Anolis sagrei: one gene and its partners. The main gene of each other region encodes a partner of the protein of the gene in region 3 in a complex. Links are inferred from orthologs where the notes say so. Each region holds a gene or a part of one and is shown on either strand. Other genes may lie near its edges. The genes, in order: METTL14, VIRMA and CBLL1.

Region 1 (5,621 bases), about 48 Mb from region 3:
CCCAATCAGAGCTGTACACAAGGGAAACAGGGGATAGAGTTTTTTTTGTTCCTTTAACTGTGCTGGTTTCTGTACATCTATGTTGTCCATCTACACAAGAGGAGAGGGAAGCAGCAACCAAAGGTTTTGTCTTCTTACATTACCCATAACATATCCTGAGCTGGGAAAATGTATAAGCTGACCCTTTCTGAATAATAATGTACCATTGATTGCTTTAAATATATCCTGCATTAAGATAATTACATATTAGAAATGTATATCTTTCAATATTCTAAAATAAATTCCACATGGTATAAAAGAAATGCAATTAGTGTTGATATTAAATTTCTGTTCTGTCTTTACACAAAAATAATGTGCAAGACAGCAAACAACACTAAAAACAAATTACAGAACTAATTAGGGCACCTAATATATTTGTAAATAATTCAGAGATGCTAAGTGATGAACATTTTAACTATCACCCATATCCTTCCCATTTTGTCAACAAACTTAAGGACAGAGGCACCTTCCACACAGCTGAATAAAAGCTCACATTATCTGCTTTGAACTGGAATATATGAGAGTGGGCTCAGATAACCCAGCTCAAATCAGTGTGGGATTTTCTGCCTTGATATTTTGGGTTATATGGCTGTGGAAGGGTCCTGAGAAGAGACAAACATTTTATGTTTCAACTCTTTCCTCCCTACAATGGGGGAAAAGAGTTCAACTTTTCCTAAACCAGTCAAAAACAAAATAAATTCAAGCTAATTTGTATTCTTTCCATCTTCTCCCCCTTGAGAATACTACTGTTATGGGAAGTTTCACAACTTATTTCAGTACAAACCTGGAAGTTTCTCTTGTTTCAGCAATCTCTCTCTGCTCATCTTTGCTATTCAACACTGCACCAATACTATCAGCACTTTCGGCCCCCAACTAAGAGAAAAGCAAAAAAAAAAAAACAAAAAAAAAAACAAAGAAATAAATACTATTACTATAGAAACAAATAAGAGAAGCTTTAATACAAACATTACATACCTAAAACCTTTATAATATAAATTTATCATAATTTCTCATTCTCCTTGTGAGAAATCCAATGAAATGTTTCTGCAGATGATTAAACTCCCATCAGTGAAATCCATGTGTGCCTGTTTTCCTAATACTAATACTAATACTAATAATAATAATAATAATACTTTATTTATACCTCACCACCATTTCCCCAAAGGGACTTGGGGAGGCTCACAAAAGCATTCAAAAGTACAAGCATATAAATACAACAAGGTACATAAACAATATAACATAATAACAATGAAGTCCACGTAAGGGAAATTAAGCAACAGGACGAATGTTGTATTTATACCCAAAGCAACTCTGCTGATCTCAGTCAAGGATTCCATACAGCAGCCATAGTAACAAAAATGTGGAGCCCCCCCCCCCCATGGTGCAATGGGTTAAACCCTTGTACTGGCAGGGCTGCTGACCGAAAGGTCAGCGGTTCAGATCCAGGGGGCGGGGTGAGCTACCATCTGTCAGCTCTAGCTTCTCTTGCAGAGACATGAGAGAAGCCTCCCACAGGATGGTAAAATATCCGGGTTTCCCCCTGGGCAACGTCCTTACAGACGGCCAATTCTCTCAAGACCAGAAGTGAGTTGCTGTTTCTCAAGTTGCCACCGACATGAAAAAAGTAATAAAAAATAACTGTATACCAGTGTCAACCATGTTCACTTCAATAATTTCTGTCCTCAAGTGTAAAAGTAGGCCAGCAAATGTTAGGAGAACAGCCCCCATGCTAAAGCAAGGTAATAAGTCTGGCAGGTAACTTAGAATAACATCACTGAATTCAACTAATGCCCAATTCCTGGTATAATGGTATTGCTTACAAAGCTTGTGCTCAAGTATCATAGAATTATAGAGTTGGAAGAGACCTCGTGGGTCATCCAGTCCAATCCCCTGCCAAGAAGCAGGACAATCAGGTTCAAAGCACTCCCAACAGATGGTCATCCAGCCTCTGTTTAAAATCCTCCATAGAAGGAGCCTCCACCATCCGAAGACTTCGTTGGAATTGTACAAATATGAATTAAAGCGTGGAAAATAGAGGCTAATATATTAGTAAGAAGACTGACAGGGAAGTAATTGGTAGAGTCACCTTGGGCAGGGAAGAGATGCGAGATAATGCAAATTTTTAGACTGTGGTGCATTGCTGTATTATGTGTAGTATAGGTAAAGGTAAAGGTCTCCCCTGACAGTAAGTCCAGTTGTGTCCAACGACTGGACCTCCAGATTGGACTACTGTAATGCACTCTACGTGGAGCTGCCCTTGAAAACAGCTCGGAAATTCCAGATGGTCCAACAGGCGGCCAGGTTGATAACTGGGGCTCCTTAAGGGAGCGGTCAACCCTCCTGTTCAAGGTGCTCCACTGGTTGCCATTCATTTTCCGGACCCAATTCAAGGTGCAGGTTCTTACCTACAAAGCCCTGAATGGTTTGGGACCCGCCTACCTGCGTGACCACATCTCTGTATACGAACCCACACGATCTCTCCGTTCATCTGGAGAGGCCCTGCTTGGTGGGGATGAGAGAGAGGGCCTTCTCGGTGGTGGCCCCTCAACTCTGGAACTCACTTCGTAACGACATTAGGCAGGCCCCAACTCTGGCAGTCTTTAGGTGAAGCTTGAAGACGTGGCTGTTCAGTGTGCCTTCCCAGAATAATGATCCCATAGCACTTTGTCCTCCACATTTTTAGGTCTGCTTGTATGTTTTCCACAAACGCCCCATCACTTTTTCGCCCAAGTTCCAGCATTATTTTCAATTTTAATTTTACATTTGGCCTTCCCATAGTTTTTAATCGTGTGGTCTTATTGTTAATGTTGCATTATTGTATTGTCCATGTTTTATTTTAATTGCTTGTACTGTTGTTATTATTGCTTGTATTGTTGTATTTGGGCTCGGCCTCATGTAAGCCGCACTGAGTCCCTTGGGAGATGGTAGCGAGGTACAAATAAAGTGTTATTATTATTATTATTAACTCTGGGATGTGGTGCTCATCTCCATTTCTAAGCTGAAGAGCCGGCGTTGTCCGTAGACACCTGCAAGGTCATGTGGCCACCATGACTTGCATGGAGTGCCGTTATGTGAAGTATATAATATGAAAAAATACTTTAAAAATTAACAAAAAAGGGAAAAATATAATAAAATGGGAGGCATTTCTTGAAAACCTGGGTTTGCCATGGCCTTCTGAGACTGAGGGCCTTTCCACACAGACATATAACCCAGAATATCAAGGCAGAAAACCCCACAACTGGGTTATCTGAGTCCACACTGCCATATATCCCAGTTCAAAGAAGACAATGTGGGATTTTACTCAGCTGTGTGGAAGGGGCCTGAGAGTGTGAGACTTGACAGAACTGAAACACCCTTTGGCCTTCAGTCTCCATGGCAACGCAGAGCCTCTCCCGCGTTCTACGTCACAGGCGCTGACCAGTGGGAAGGGAGGCGATCCATCCGTCAGCCTCCCCCTCCGAGGCCAGGGCGCATGCGCGGAGGCCCAAACCTTGAAGGACGGAGTCCAACCCGGTGTTCTCCCGTTACCTGCTGAGCCAGGAGCTGCCGGCGCAATTTCTGCCTCTCCCGGATCTCCTGCAGCCGGCTATTCATCCTCAACCGACGGCCGCGCGGGTTCAGAAATGGGCGCCTCACGGACGCACAGCTGAGACGTCACTTCCTCTCTGTCTTTGGCTGTGAACATAGACGTACGAAAAACAGCACACCGTCATGTTAATGTATGCAAAGAGTTCTTCTGGGTTGCTATATGTTTTTCGGTTTGTATGGCCCTGTTCCAGAAGCATTCTCTCCCGACGTTTCGCCCACATCTATGGCAAGCATCTTCAGAGGTTGTGAGGTCTGTTGGAAACTAGGCAAGTGGGGTTTCTATATATCTGTGGAATGCCCAGGGTGGGAGAAAGAGCTCTTGTCTCTTCACCCAACCATCACCCAAGTAAAAAAAAAAAAGCAGAGAGGAAACAACCAGGCACAGCTTAACACGTCTCAGCAGGAGATTTTCCCTGGCTCAGGCAGGCCTTCAAATGCTAATGAAGGTTGAAACATTCACACCTAGCTCTAGCAAGGAAGAGCTCTTTGCCCCACCCCAGCCATTCCACAGATATATAAACCCATTGTCCTATTTCCAACAGACCTCACACCTCTGAGGATGCTTATTTATTTATTTATTTATTTGCTGCGCTTATATACCGCAATTCTCAGCCCAAGGGCGACTCATTTTATTTGAGAACACAGAAATGCTGGACCACTCTCACAACCACCATGTCAATCTACACAGAGAAGCAATTGAAATACACAAGCATGTGGACAATTTCAACAGAAAGGAAGAGACCATGAAAATGAACAAAATCTGGCTACCAGTATTTAAAAAAAACTCTAAAATTACAACAGCAAAACAGCAGAGAGGAAATAAACAAGGACATCTAACCACCTCTCAACAAAAGATTGCTCCAGGCACTGTCAGGCAATCAAACGCTAATCAAGGTGGTCAGTTGAAACATTCACACCTGGCTCCAGCAGACAAGAGTCCTTTGTCCCACCCTGGTCATTCCGCAGATATATAAACCCTTTTTCCTAGTTCCAACAGACCTCACTACCTCTGAGGATGCTTGCCATAGATGCAGGCGAAACATCAGGAGAGAATGCCTCTAGACCATGGCCATATAGCTCAAAAAACCCAACTCTTTTATCTGTTGGAGGCAAGTGTGAATGTTACAATTGGCCACCTTGATTAGCATTTAATGGCCTTGCAGCTTCAAAGCCTGGCTGCTTCCTGTCTGGGGGAATCCTTTAGCAGGAAGTATTATCTGGCCCTGATTAATTTTCTCTGGATTCTCCCTGCCTGCTTTTTTAGTGTTCCTCTTTATTTCCTAATTTTAGAGGTTTTTAATACTGGTAGCCAGATTTTGTTGATTTTCATGGTTTCCTCCTTTCTGTTGAAATTGTCCACATGCTTGTGGATTTCAATGGCTTCTCTGTATTGTCAGAAATGCTGACCTATGTATTGTCGAAGGCTTTCATGGCCGGAATCACTGGGTTGTTGTAGGTTTTTTTGGGCTATATGGCCATGTTCTAGACTAGAGGCATTCTCTCCTGACGTTTCGCCTGCATCTATGGCAAGCATCCTCAGAGGTAGTGACCTCACTACCTCTGAGGATGCTTGCCATAGATCAGTGGTTCTCAACCTTCGGGTCCCCAGGTGTTTTGGCCTACAAGTCCCAGAAATCCCAGCCAGTTTACCAGCTGTTAAGATTTCTGGGAGTTGAAGGCCAAAATATTTGGGGACCCACAGGTTGAGAACCACTGCCATAGATGCAGGTGAAACGTCAGGAGAGAATGCCTTTAGAACATAGCCATATAGCCCAAAAAAAAAAAAAACCCTACAACAACCCAATACTGACCTACTCTAACAACCACCTTGCCAAACTACACAGAAATCCCCAAGCATGTGGACAGTTTCAACAGAAAGGAGGAAATAATAAAAATGCACAAAATTTGGCTACCAGAATTTAAAAGCTCCAGAAATCAGGACACTAAATACAGAAAAACACAGAGAAAACAGGGAAATTCCAGGCAGGAAACAA
Region 2 (5,621 bases), on a different chromosome or scaffold from region 3:
GTTGAACAATCTCTTCATTTTGTTTCATAAGTACTCTGAAGTTTCCCTAAAGAAAAATGTATGGCAAAGAGTCCAGACATTTTTCAAAAGGCAAACAAAGGTATGATAGTTTTATCCATTCATTTTGTATGACATGTGTTGTTCACATTTTGTAATAATTTTGCCATTTGTAATAAGAAAGGTAATAAAAGAAAATGACAGCTACTGAGCCCTGTTTTATCATTCAGTAAACAAAAGCTGTCCCAATAAATCTACTGTATTTTACAACTGTACTTGTTTGGTCACCTTACACAATGTAATGCATTTGGGGGGGGGGAGGCCTATGCCACTTCGTTGTTGAAAATAACCCATTTCTTTGCTCAAAAGTGAGCAGTGAATACACATTCACCCAATCCTTTTTTGCAAGGAACAAGCCAATATACTGTTGTCATGAAGCAGGGATGGAAGGGCCTAGTTTATAGTAATACGTTTAGTGAACAGATCGCTGATAGCATAATGCAAGTTTAAAATTTGCTGAGTATGCAATTGATAACAGTCAGAAGACATGCTACATACTACAGCATTCAGCCTGGTTATACTTGCACAATTTAATATACTGAAATCCAAATAAATACTCATAACATGAATAATCTGGCATGTTTACCTTTCAACAATAAACGAAACACATTTAACGGAACAACTCTATTTGTAAACAATGTATTTGATGTTCATGAGGATATGGGCACCTACATTCTAGAAATTAATTCTCCCATGTATGCATTTTGCTGTGAGAAGAGTTGTTTAAGTGGCTACACACTTAAAACCCTAATGATCCCCAAAGCATCTTAAGTCATTTTATTGTTGCCCCTACCTCAACACTGGACCAAGCAGAAGATTTCCATTAGTTCCATTGTTAAAGCAAAGAGCTGCAACATCACTTAAGAGTTCCTTTTATAATTCTGCAACACTTGCCTACTACTGGAACCTCAAATTACAATTCTGTATAAAATTGCCATTCCTGTACACGCATACACTGCTTGCACAGTCAAAGTGCACAGTTTGTGGCACTTCTTTTCTACTGAGAATCCTTAATCTTGTTAAGAATGCATATTTGAGGGTGGGATCAGAACACTGTGCTATTCTGTACATTGGGCTACGTCTGTACCAAGTTTGGAACCTCCAATTGGTTCAATCAAAGTAGGCGGATGAGTTTTTTGTTATTTGTTCAGTCGCTTCCGACTCATTGTGACCTCATGGATCAGCCCACGCCAGAGCTCCCTGTCGGCCGTCACCACCCCCTGCTTCTTCAGAGTCAAGCCAGTCATTTCAAGGATACCATACATCCATCTTGCCCTTGGTCGGCCCCTCTTTCTTTTTCCTTCCATTTTCCCCAGCATAATTTTCTTCTCTAAGCTTTCCTGTCTTCTCATTATGTGGCCAAAGTACTTCATCTTGGCCTCTACTATCCTTCCCTCCAATGAGCAGTCGGGCTTTATTTCCTTAAAAAGCCAGGGGAGCTTTTGCACAGTTAAAGCTTGTGCGCCAGCTGCGCCTGTACCTTGAGAAGTCTGATCTGGCAACAGTAGTCCATGTTCTTGTTACATCCTGAATAGATTACTGCAACACACTCTACATGGGGTTGCCTTTGAAAAATTTTCGGAAACTTCAACTAGGCCAACGGGCTGCAGCCAGATTACTAACTGGAGTGACATACAGGGAGCACACCACCCCCTTGTTGTGTCAGCTCCACTGGCTGCCAATCCACTTCCGAACTCAATTCAAAGTAGCTGGTTTTGACCTATAAAGCTCTATACGATTCTGGCCCAGCTTACTTGTCCGAACGCATCTCCCTCTACGTCCCGCCTTGCAGTTTAAGATCATCTGAGGAGACTTGCTCTCGCTCCCGCCAGCATCACAAATACATCTGGCGGGGACGAGAGATAGGGTCTTCTCGGCTATAGCCCCCCACCTGTGGAACTCGCTTCCCAACAAGGTAAGATCCGCTTCATCCCTCTTGTCTTTTAGGAAGAAATTGAAGTCGTGGTTCTGGGACCAGGCTTTTGGACAGCAGGCATAAATAGGATATGGAATTTGACTGGAATGATGATATGATGGTTAATACTGTTTTTATTGTTTTAATTAATGTTCTACTTATTGTTTTAATTGTTGTTATATTTAATGGCATCAAATTGTGCCAAATGTAAGCCCTCCTGAGTCCCCCCTTCAGGGATTGAGAAGGACGGGGTAGAAATACTGGAAATAAATCTATATAAATAAAAATGTAATGTTCGTTTGTGGGATTAACAGCACTCAAAAACCACTGGACAAATTGACACCAAATTTGGACACAATACACCTAACAACCCATTGTATGTCCTTCACTCATAAAACACTAAAAACACAGCAGAAGGGACTTAAAAAGCCCCAAAAAGCTAAATGATGAAAAGCTAAATGACAATATAGAAAAAAGGGAAGAAAAGGGAGGGAAGGGAAGAAAAAAGAAAGAAAGGAAAGGAAAGGAAAAGAAAGAGGGAGGGAGGGAAAGAAAGAAAGAAAGGGAGAAGGAAGCATGGAAGCAAAGAGAGAACGAAGGAAAAATAGAGGTAGAGAAGGAAGAAAGGGGAGAAAGTGGGAGGAAAAGAAAAAGGGGGAAGGAAGGTTAGAGAAGGAAGGAAGGAGAGAAGGAAAGAAAAAAGGGAAAGAAGGAAGGAAAGAGGGAGCAAAGGAAGGGGGGAAGATGTACAGAAAGAGGAAGGGAAGGAAAAAAAGGGAAGAGAGAAGGAAGAAAACAGACAGCAGAAGAGAAAGAAAAAGGGGAAAGGAAGGAAAGAGATAGAGAAGGAAGGAAGAAGAGAAGGAAAGATGGGAAGGAAGGAAGGAAGGAAAGAGGGAGTGAAGGAAGGAGGGAAAGAAGGAGAGAAAGAGGGATGGTTGGCCACAGCAAAGCGTGGCGGGTACAGCTAGTAAATAAATAAAGTATGGACTGCTTGGATCTTCTCGCGGTCCAAGGCAGACGAGATACAGGGAGCATATTCCACTGTCAGGAAATGTAGGTGGAATCATAGAGTTGGAAGAGACCTCATGGGCCATCCAGTCCAACCCCCTGCCAAGAAGCAGGAATATTGCATTCAAATCACCCCTGACAGATGACCATCCAGCCTCTGTTTAAAAGCTTCCAAAGAAGGAGCCTCCACCACACTCCGGGGCAGAGAGTTCCACTGCTGAACGGCTCTCACAGTCAGGAAGTTCTTCCTAATGTTCAGATGGAATCTCCTCTCTTGTAGTTTGAAGCCATTGTTCTGCATCCTAGTCTCCAAGGAAGCAGAAAACAAGCTTTCCCCCTCCTCCCTGTGGCTTCCTCTCACATATTTATACATGGCTATCATATCTCCTCTCAGCCTTCTCTTCTTCAGGCTAAACATGCCCAGCTCCTTAAGCCGCTCCTCATAGGGCTTGTTCTCCATACCTTTTATCATTTTAGTCGCTCTCCTCTGGACACATTCCAGCTTGTGCTTGGAATGTGCATATGGGATATATTGAGTATGGTGATCAGATCATGATATGAATAAACATAACAGTTTAAATAATGCACCAGTAAGGCCTTTTCGCGAACCACCATGAGAATTTCGGGGGGGCTGAAGCTCCTCAAGCCCCCCCCCCCCCGGCTACATGCCTGGCCTGAGGCTGTGGGAGTTGGAGGTCCAAAACACCTGGAAGGCCCAAGTTTGCTCCTGCCTGGTAGAGATGCATCCTGAAATAGTAATCTCGACTCAGAGCTAAGGCTAAGAATGCTGCAAATAAATCCCGCCTGTACACAAATATTGAAGAGGAGGAGACAAGAGGGAGGGAAACTCTGCTCGTCTTTGAAGGAGCGAGGCAGAAGGATGGGCGCTGGCCCCGCCCCGAGAGGCGCAGGAAGAGGACCCCCGGCAGGGGGAGCCCACACTGACAGGGCCCCGCCGCCCTCCCCTTCCTCCCAAAGAGAGGAGAGATGCCTCCGCGACCCCCCGTTACCTCCGTGCTCTGGTGCTTGAAAGTGTCTAAAAATAGAAGCTCCGTTGTTGTGTCCGCCGCCATCTTGCGTCGGCGGACGCGCCGAGGAGACAAGCGCTTCCGGGGCCAGGGAAAGGTCCGCGCATGCTCGCCATCGCTGCTTCAACGCAGGGCTGCGCATGCGTGACATCTCTGCGTCCCTTCTGCGGTGGCGAAGGGGCTTTGCACTCTCTGTATTTATGTCTGAGATGCGCCAAGCGAAGGGAGGCGATTAAATGGCTCGGGGAGTTGTTATCCAGCCATTCTTAACAGGAACAAGTAATATATATTTATATTTATCGTGTCATCAGCAACCATACCATTATATTACAATTCTAACAGAGCAAAACAAACACACAGATTAAAAAGAAGAAGAAAAACACAGATTTTGCAAACTTGGTAGCTGGTTAAATGTCCTTTGACCAGTATCTGGCCCCTTGGAGTGCCTCTGGTGTTGCCGCAAGGAGGTCCTCCATTGTGCATGTGGCAGGGTTCAGGTTGCATTGCAGCAGGTGGTCAGTGGTTTGCTCTTCTCAACACTCACGTCGTGGATTTCACTTTGTAGCCCCATTTCTTAAGATTGGCTCTGCATCTCGTGGTGCCAGAGCGCAGTCTGTTCCAAGTCGCCCAGTCTTCTGTGTGCCCAGGAAGGAGTCTCTCATTTGGTATCAGCCATTGGTTGAGGTGCTGGGTTTCAGCCTGCCACTTTTGGACTCTCGCTTCCTGAGGTGTTCCAGCGAGTGTCTCTGTAGATCTTAGAAAACTATGTCTAGATTTAAGTCATTGGCGTGCTGGCTGATACCCAAACGGGATGAGCTGGAGATGTCTCTGCCTTGGTCCTTTCACTATTGGCTGCTACTTCCCGGCGGATGTCAGGTGGTGCAATACCGGCTAAGCAGTGTAATTTCTCCAGTGGTGTAGGGCGCAGACACCCCGTGATAATGCGGCATGTCTCATTAAGAGCCACATTCACTGTTTTAGTGTGGTGAGATGTGTTCCACACTGGGCATGCATACTCAGCAGCAGAGTAGCATAGCACAAGGGCAGATGTCTTCACTGTGTCTGGTTGTGATCCTCAGGTTGTGCCAGTCAGCTTTCGTATGATGTTGTTTCTAGCGCCCACTTTTTGCTTGATGTTCAGGCAGTGTTTCTTGTAGGTAAGAGCACAGTCCAAAGTGACTCCCAGGTATTTGGGTGTGTTGCAATGCTCCAGTAATAACAAGTAATAACAACCACGAAAGCAACTATATAACATGTAATATTGATAATATTATGTGATACAATATAATACTAATAATAATAATACGATATTATAATTATATATTTTACATGTAATATTACATTTCAGTATGTATGTGTGTTGATATAGATACATACATAAATACACACAACAAACACATATTGGAATGCATATTCCTATCCTCAAGATGTATTCCAGTATATATGCATGTATGTATCTGTAATGCAGTATGTATGTTTTTGTCTAGAGATTTACATACACATATACATTGGCCATCATTTATTATTATTTATTTATTTAACAGTTTTGTATACCGGTCTTCTCACCTCTCTTGAGGGACTCAGACCGGTTTCCAACCATAATATCACAT
Region 3 (5,621 bases):
GAATCCTGGGACTTATAGTCTGGAGAGGCACAGCACTTACTGACACAAAAGGCTAAATATCTTGTAAAATTCCAGCTCCAATGATTCCATCACATTGAGTCATGGCGGTTAAAGTGGTGTCAAACTGTATTCAATCTACACTGTAGATGCTGTCAGACCTTTATTTTGTGTACATTCTTAAAATGGGTTTGTCTCCAATTATGGTAGAATACTTGTCTCACAGGAAATTCCCAGACGCAAGTGTTGCTACTAAACCACTTAGTCAACAGAAACCATAAATGTATTCTAGTGAAGGAAGCTATTTCAATTAAATATTTTAATACAGAGACTCATGTGTACAGGCAGTCCCCTGGTTGCTAACGTTCAATTTACAAACAACTCATAGTTAAGAGAACAGGAAGTGAAAAAAACCTTCCCCTCAGAAGGGAAATTTACTTCTAAAAGAATTATGAAGGGGAAAGGTATCTCAACTGAAACTATCATCAATCCTTGTTTTCACCACAAGACAAATTTGTGCAACTAGGTGGCATTCATTTACTGCTGCCAAATTGTTGTGACCCCCAACATTGAACTTTTAATTCCTGCTATGGTCCAGCTTGAAGCAGTGTTTTGAGTGTCTGGAGATCAAGGATCAAATCCCCATTCAGCCTGGAAACTCACTGGTGAATTTGGTGAATTCCCACTCTCTCAGCCTGAGGAAGGCAATGGCACACCTCCTCTTAGCTTGCCAAGAAAACCAGGTGATAGGGTTAACTCAGGGTGGAAACGAACTGAAGGCACACAACAACAATCAATCATCTCTCGTACTGGTAAGATTAGACACAAAGATCTTGCAGCACCTTAAGAGACTGAAAGAAAGATGTCAGAAGCATAAGCTTTTGTAGACTTCAGTTTATAAATGTTTATGCTACCAACTTTTTTTCTCAGTTAATCTCAAAGGTGCTACTAGATCCCTTTGAATACTGATCCATGAATAAACTTTTGCAAACTAAGGGTGCTGTTGTAAAACCTGAGATTTGTAGTTTGGTTAGGCACCAGCACCTTTTGACAGAGAAGGCGAAAGACCTTGGACCGTACCACATTAGAGGACCTCCTTTCAGCGACACCAGACACATTCAAATACTTAACTGCTTGTAGTATTTTATGCATTATAACTGTATTCCCAATTTGCTTCTGACACGATAAATAAAGGGACTTGTTGTATGCTGAGGCACTAGCACTCATAGAATCATAAGTTATAGTGTATAACTTTGTAAGTACTTAAATGTGTTGTAACTTATGATATTTAATGATACAGATGTTCTATATGTATGCTACTGGAGTAAAACATTGATTTGTACATTAATTTGAGTCCACCAGAGGAAGGCCTGAGGTAGGCCGAAACCGATCGTGGACGGCTGATCCACAAGCTACTTATAAGAAGATATGACTGTACTAAAAATCTGCACCATGTTGTTTGTTGTCGCTGTGAGGTTAACAGTGCAGCATGTTTATATACTGTTGTTGAATTATATTATTGTTTATGTTATACAAGTGGTATTTTTGTTGTATGCATTCAATCTTTCCTTTTCCCCATCAGCGGCCACCTCGATCCACCCAGGAAAATCTCCTATACATACCGGCTCCTAGGGAGGCACATTTGGAAGCTACAAGGCGTAGAGCTTTTTCGATCAATGCTCCAATTCTGTGGAACTCATTGCCTCCATATATTAGAGCAATGTCGGAGTTGCAACCTTTTGCAAAGGCGCTCAATACTTGGCTGTTTGGCTGTGCATTTAAGTAACCGGATCAAATTTTGCCATAGTCACTGCTGAATGTTTTTATGTTGAATGTTTTTATGTTGAATGTTTTTATATTGAATGTTTTTATATTGAATGTTTTATATTGTGTATAAACTGTTTTAAATTGTAAGTCGATCGGAGCACCTTGGTGGAGAGCGACTAATTAAGAAATAAAGTGATGATGATGATGATGATTCAGGAACCCATTTATATTATAGTATTCTGCATCTCATGGTGCCAGAGCACAGTCTGTTCAGCACCTTCCAAGTCGCCCAGTGTTCTGTGTGCCCAGAAGGGAGTCACCCACGGATTGAGGTGCTAGGTTTGAGCCTGCCACTTTTGGACTCTCGCTTGCTGACATGAGACATGAGAGACATGACATGGGACATGAGAGAAGCCTCCTCGCAGGATTGCAAGACATCCGGGCGTCCCCTGAGCAACGTCTTCGTAGACTTCTCTTGCCACAGATGCAACCAGAAGCGACTTGCAGCATGCAAGCAAGCAAATAAAAAATGAAATACAACTGTTCGGTTTGCTCCTGACACAATATTTTTTTTTCTGCCTAAGTGGCAGAGAAGGCGAAATGCCTGGTAAAACTTAGAACTCCCAGGGCAGAAGAGGGAGGCAAAAAGAAGCAGTGGGGTAAGGAAAGGCAGACACGGCAAGGAGGAAGAGGCCTAGCGCGGACTTTGCTATTCTCTGAAGGCCTCGTCCCGCTCAAATTGAGCCTCTTCTCCTTATCATGGGAAAACCCAAATCCCCTCAAAGCGCGCTAGGCCTCAAGTCACGAAGGCCCAAGTGCGCCTGCGCAGCCTCCTTCACACCTCCCCCCCCCCCCCCCCCCCGCCGGCCGCTCTTTTCAAACAAGGCCTCAACGCTTCTAAAGGCCTCGCCGCTCCCTCAGGCCTCCCTCCCGCTCAAATTGGGCGGCTTGTGGACGACGAGAGAGGGAGAGAGGCTGGGGCGAAAGCGGGGGAATGCGTCGGGTCTTCCGAAAAAGGGGCCTTCCCTCCTTTCCAACGCCCGCCAAGCGCTCACCATTGTGGTCCATGATTCGAGGCAGGGCACTCTGGACGGGAAGTGTCCTGGCGCGAGCGGGTGGGCGGGGCCGGAAAGAGCGCGCGAGGGGCGCGAACATAGAGACAGGCAAAAATATAGATTCCCAGCGGCAGAGGACACTAGCGGGTTTCTTCAGGCAGTTTTTTTTTCTCCTCTGGGAAGAAATTGAACTCTGGCTATGGATTTTAGTAAGGAGTGAAACTTCCAGGTTGTGGTGCACGAAGAATGACTTGTTTTAAAGCAGCATTTCTCAACCTGGGAGGTGGTGTCAGAGGGGTAAGCAAAGGCCATCAGAAAACACAGTTTTTTCTGTTGGTCATGGGGGTTCTGTGTGGGAAGTTTGTCCCAATTCCATCAATTCAGAATGCTCTTTGATTGTAGATGAACTATAAATCCCAGCAACTACAACTCCCAAATGTCAAGGTCTGTTTTCTCCAAAATCCACCAATGTTCATATTTGGGCATATTGAGTATTCGTGCCAAGTTTGGTCCAGATCCATCTGTTTGAGTCCACAGTGCTCTCTGGATGTAAGTATACTACAACTCCAAAACTCAAGGTCAGTGCCCACCAAACCCTTCTAGCATTTTCTGTTGGTCATGAGAGTGCTGGTGGAATTCAGAATGCTCTTTGATTGAAGTGAACTATAAATCCCAGCAACTACAACTCCTAAATTTATTATTTATTTTTATTTATTGTTCTTAAACCCTGCTACCATCTCCCGCAGGACTCGGTGTGGCTTACAAGAGGCCAAGCCCAATAACACCATAAAACAACAACAGCAAAACAATAAATAACTCAAAAAAGCAAAACGACACATTTTAAAAACATGAGGCAGACAAATGACAAAATCACACACACCCCAGCCCCACAAGTATTCAAATTTTGGTGTATTTGTGCCAAATTACATCTTGCATATTAGATATTTACATTAAGGTTCATAACAGTAGCAAAATTACAGTTCTGAAGTAGCAACAAAAATAATTTTATGGTTGGGGGTCACCACAACCTGAAGAACTGTACTAAGGGGTCGCGCCATTAGAAAGGTTGAGAAACACTGTTTTAAAGGGAAAGGCAGTAAGGAAAGACGTGTATTTTTTTTCCTTCCTATGGTGCAAGATTGGGAAAGGCATACGGCCAGAGGCGGCCCTAGGTAATTTTCAACAGTAAGCAAACAGTATTTTGGTGCCCCCCCCCCCCCAACCAATCATTGATATATATTTTCTGTTTGTCGTGGGAGTTCTGTGTGCCATATTTGGTTCAATTCCATTATTGGTGGAGTTCAGAATGCTCTTTGATTGTAGGTGAACTATACATCCCAGTAACTACACTTGCTGCACTTGGGTTCGTAGACAGAGATGCGGTCGCGCAGAGACATCACACTGGCAACCAAGATCCGCGTAGTTAAAGCAATGGTATTCCCCATAATAACATATGGATGTGAGAACTGGACCATAGGGAAGGCGGGGCGAAGGAAGATAGATGCTTTTGAACTGTCGTGTTTGAGGAAATTTCTGAGAGTGCCTCGGACCGGGAGAAGATCCAACCTATCCATACTTCAGGAAATAAAGCCCGACTGCTCACTGGAGGGAAGGATATTAGAGGCCAAGATGAAGTATTTAGCCACATAATAAGAAGACAGGAAAGCTTAGAGAAGACAATGATGCTGGAGAAAATGGAAAGAAAAAGGAAGAGGGGCTGACCAAGGGCAAGATGGATGGATGGTATCCTTGAAGTGACTGGCTTGACCTTGAAGGAGCTGGGGGTGGTGACGGCTGTCAGGGAGCTCTGGTGTAGGCTGGTCCATGAGGTCACGAAGAGTCAGAAGCAACTGAACGAATAAACAACACGGTGCATCTGGTTTATTCTTATTTATCTCTTTTTTAAATTTATCAAGCCTTTAATTATATATATATAGTTCAGATGTTTGAAGATTTTTTAAAGTAAAAACTACTTTATATTATTTGAAAGTAATTGGCATAATTATTTAAAAAAACTTAGGAGTGTAGATCTTATAAGACTTAAGCAACAATTCTTGATTCCTTCACAATAGCTTGAATGAATGAATACATATTCTAATAAACAGCTTATTGTTAATTAACAATTTTATCCTTCCTAAGTTTTCTTGAACACATAAGGTGTTGGATTCAACATTAGAAAAAGAGACTCCCCCCCCCCCCCCCGTGATAAAGGCACACTCAAGTCTTATTTACTTTTTTATAATACACTAGCCATCCCCTGCCACACATTGCTATGGCCCACTCTGTGTATATGTGTTTTGTGTGTGTATGTATGTGTATATTTGTATACATGTGGTTTTGTGCATGCATTGTAATGTTGTCGTTGTTGTTTTGGCTTTTTAAGTCTCTTCCACTGTGTTTTTCAGTGTTTTTATGAGTGATGGTCACTTGTTGGCCTGAGAGGTGTATTGTGTCCAAATTTGGTGTCAATTCATCCAGTGGTTTTTGAGTTATGCTAATCCCACAAACGAACATTCCTCACCTCTGAGGAAGCTTGCCATAGATGCAGGCGAAACGTCAGGAGAAATGCCTCTAGAACATGGCCATATAGCCCGAAAAAACCCACAAGAACTGAACATTACATTTTTATTTATATAAACTAGCCATTCCCTGCCATGCGTTGCTGTGGCCCAGTCTCTGTATATGTGCTTTGAGTGTGTATATATTTGTGTATATATGTATGTTTGCGTATATATAGAAGTTGTCATGTATTTTATTTTATTTTTACTTTTTAAGTCCCTTCTGTTATGTTTTTCATTGTTT

Evidence for each region.
Region 1: CBLL1 (region 3) and METTL14 share a complex: the UniProt entries of both Homo sapiens proteins name them as parts of the WMM complex. The link is inferred for Anolis sagrei from reciprocal best matches to the Homo sapiens genes CBLL1 and METTL14.
Region 2: CBLL1 (region 3) and VIRMA share a complex: the UniProt entries of both Homo sapiens proteins name them as parts of the WMM complex. The link is inferred for Anolis sagrei from reciprocal best matches to the Homo sapiens genes CBLL1 and VIRMA.

Annotation. Positions count from the first base shown.
Region 1 is NC_090025.1:35,083,894-35,089,514, reverse strand, and holds the start of METTL14 (N6-adenosine-methyltransferase non-catalytic subunit), read right to left. Parts: upstream 3,698-5,621; 5' UTR 3,634-3,697; coding exon 3,568-3,633; intron 913-3,567; coding exon 824-912; intron 1-823. UniProt on the Homo sapiens protein: The METTL3-METTL14 heterodimer forms a N6-methyltransferase complex that methylates adenosine residues at the N(6) position of some mRNAs and regulates the circadian clock, differentiation of embryonic stem cells and cortical neurogenesis.
Region 2 is NC_090024.1:33,917,982-33,923,602, reverse strand, and holds the start of VIRMA (protein virilizer homolog), read right to left. Parts: upstream 4,107-5,621; 5' UTR 4,057-4,106; coding exon 3,994-4,056; intron 1-3,993. UniProt on the Homo sapiens protein: Associated component of the WMM complex, a complex that mediates N6-methyladenosine (m6A) methylation of RNAs, a modification that plays a role in the efficiency of mRNA splicing and RNA processing.
Region 3 is NC_090025.1:82,853,037-82,858,657, forward strand, and holds the start of CBLL1 (E3 ubiquitin-protein ligase Hakai), read right to left. Parts: upstream 2,909-5,621; 5' UTR 2,833-2,908; coding exon 2,820-2,832; intron 1-2,819. UniProt on the Homo sapiens protein: E3 ubiquitin-protein ligase that mediates ubiquitination of several tyrosine-phosphorylated Src substrates, including CDH1, CTTN and DOK1. Targets CDH1 for endocytosis and degradation.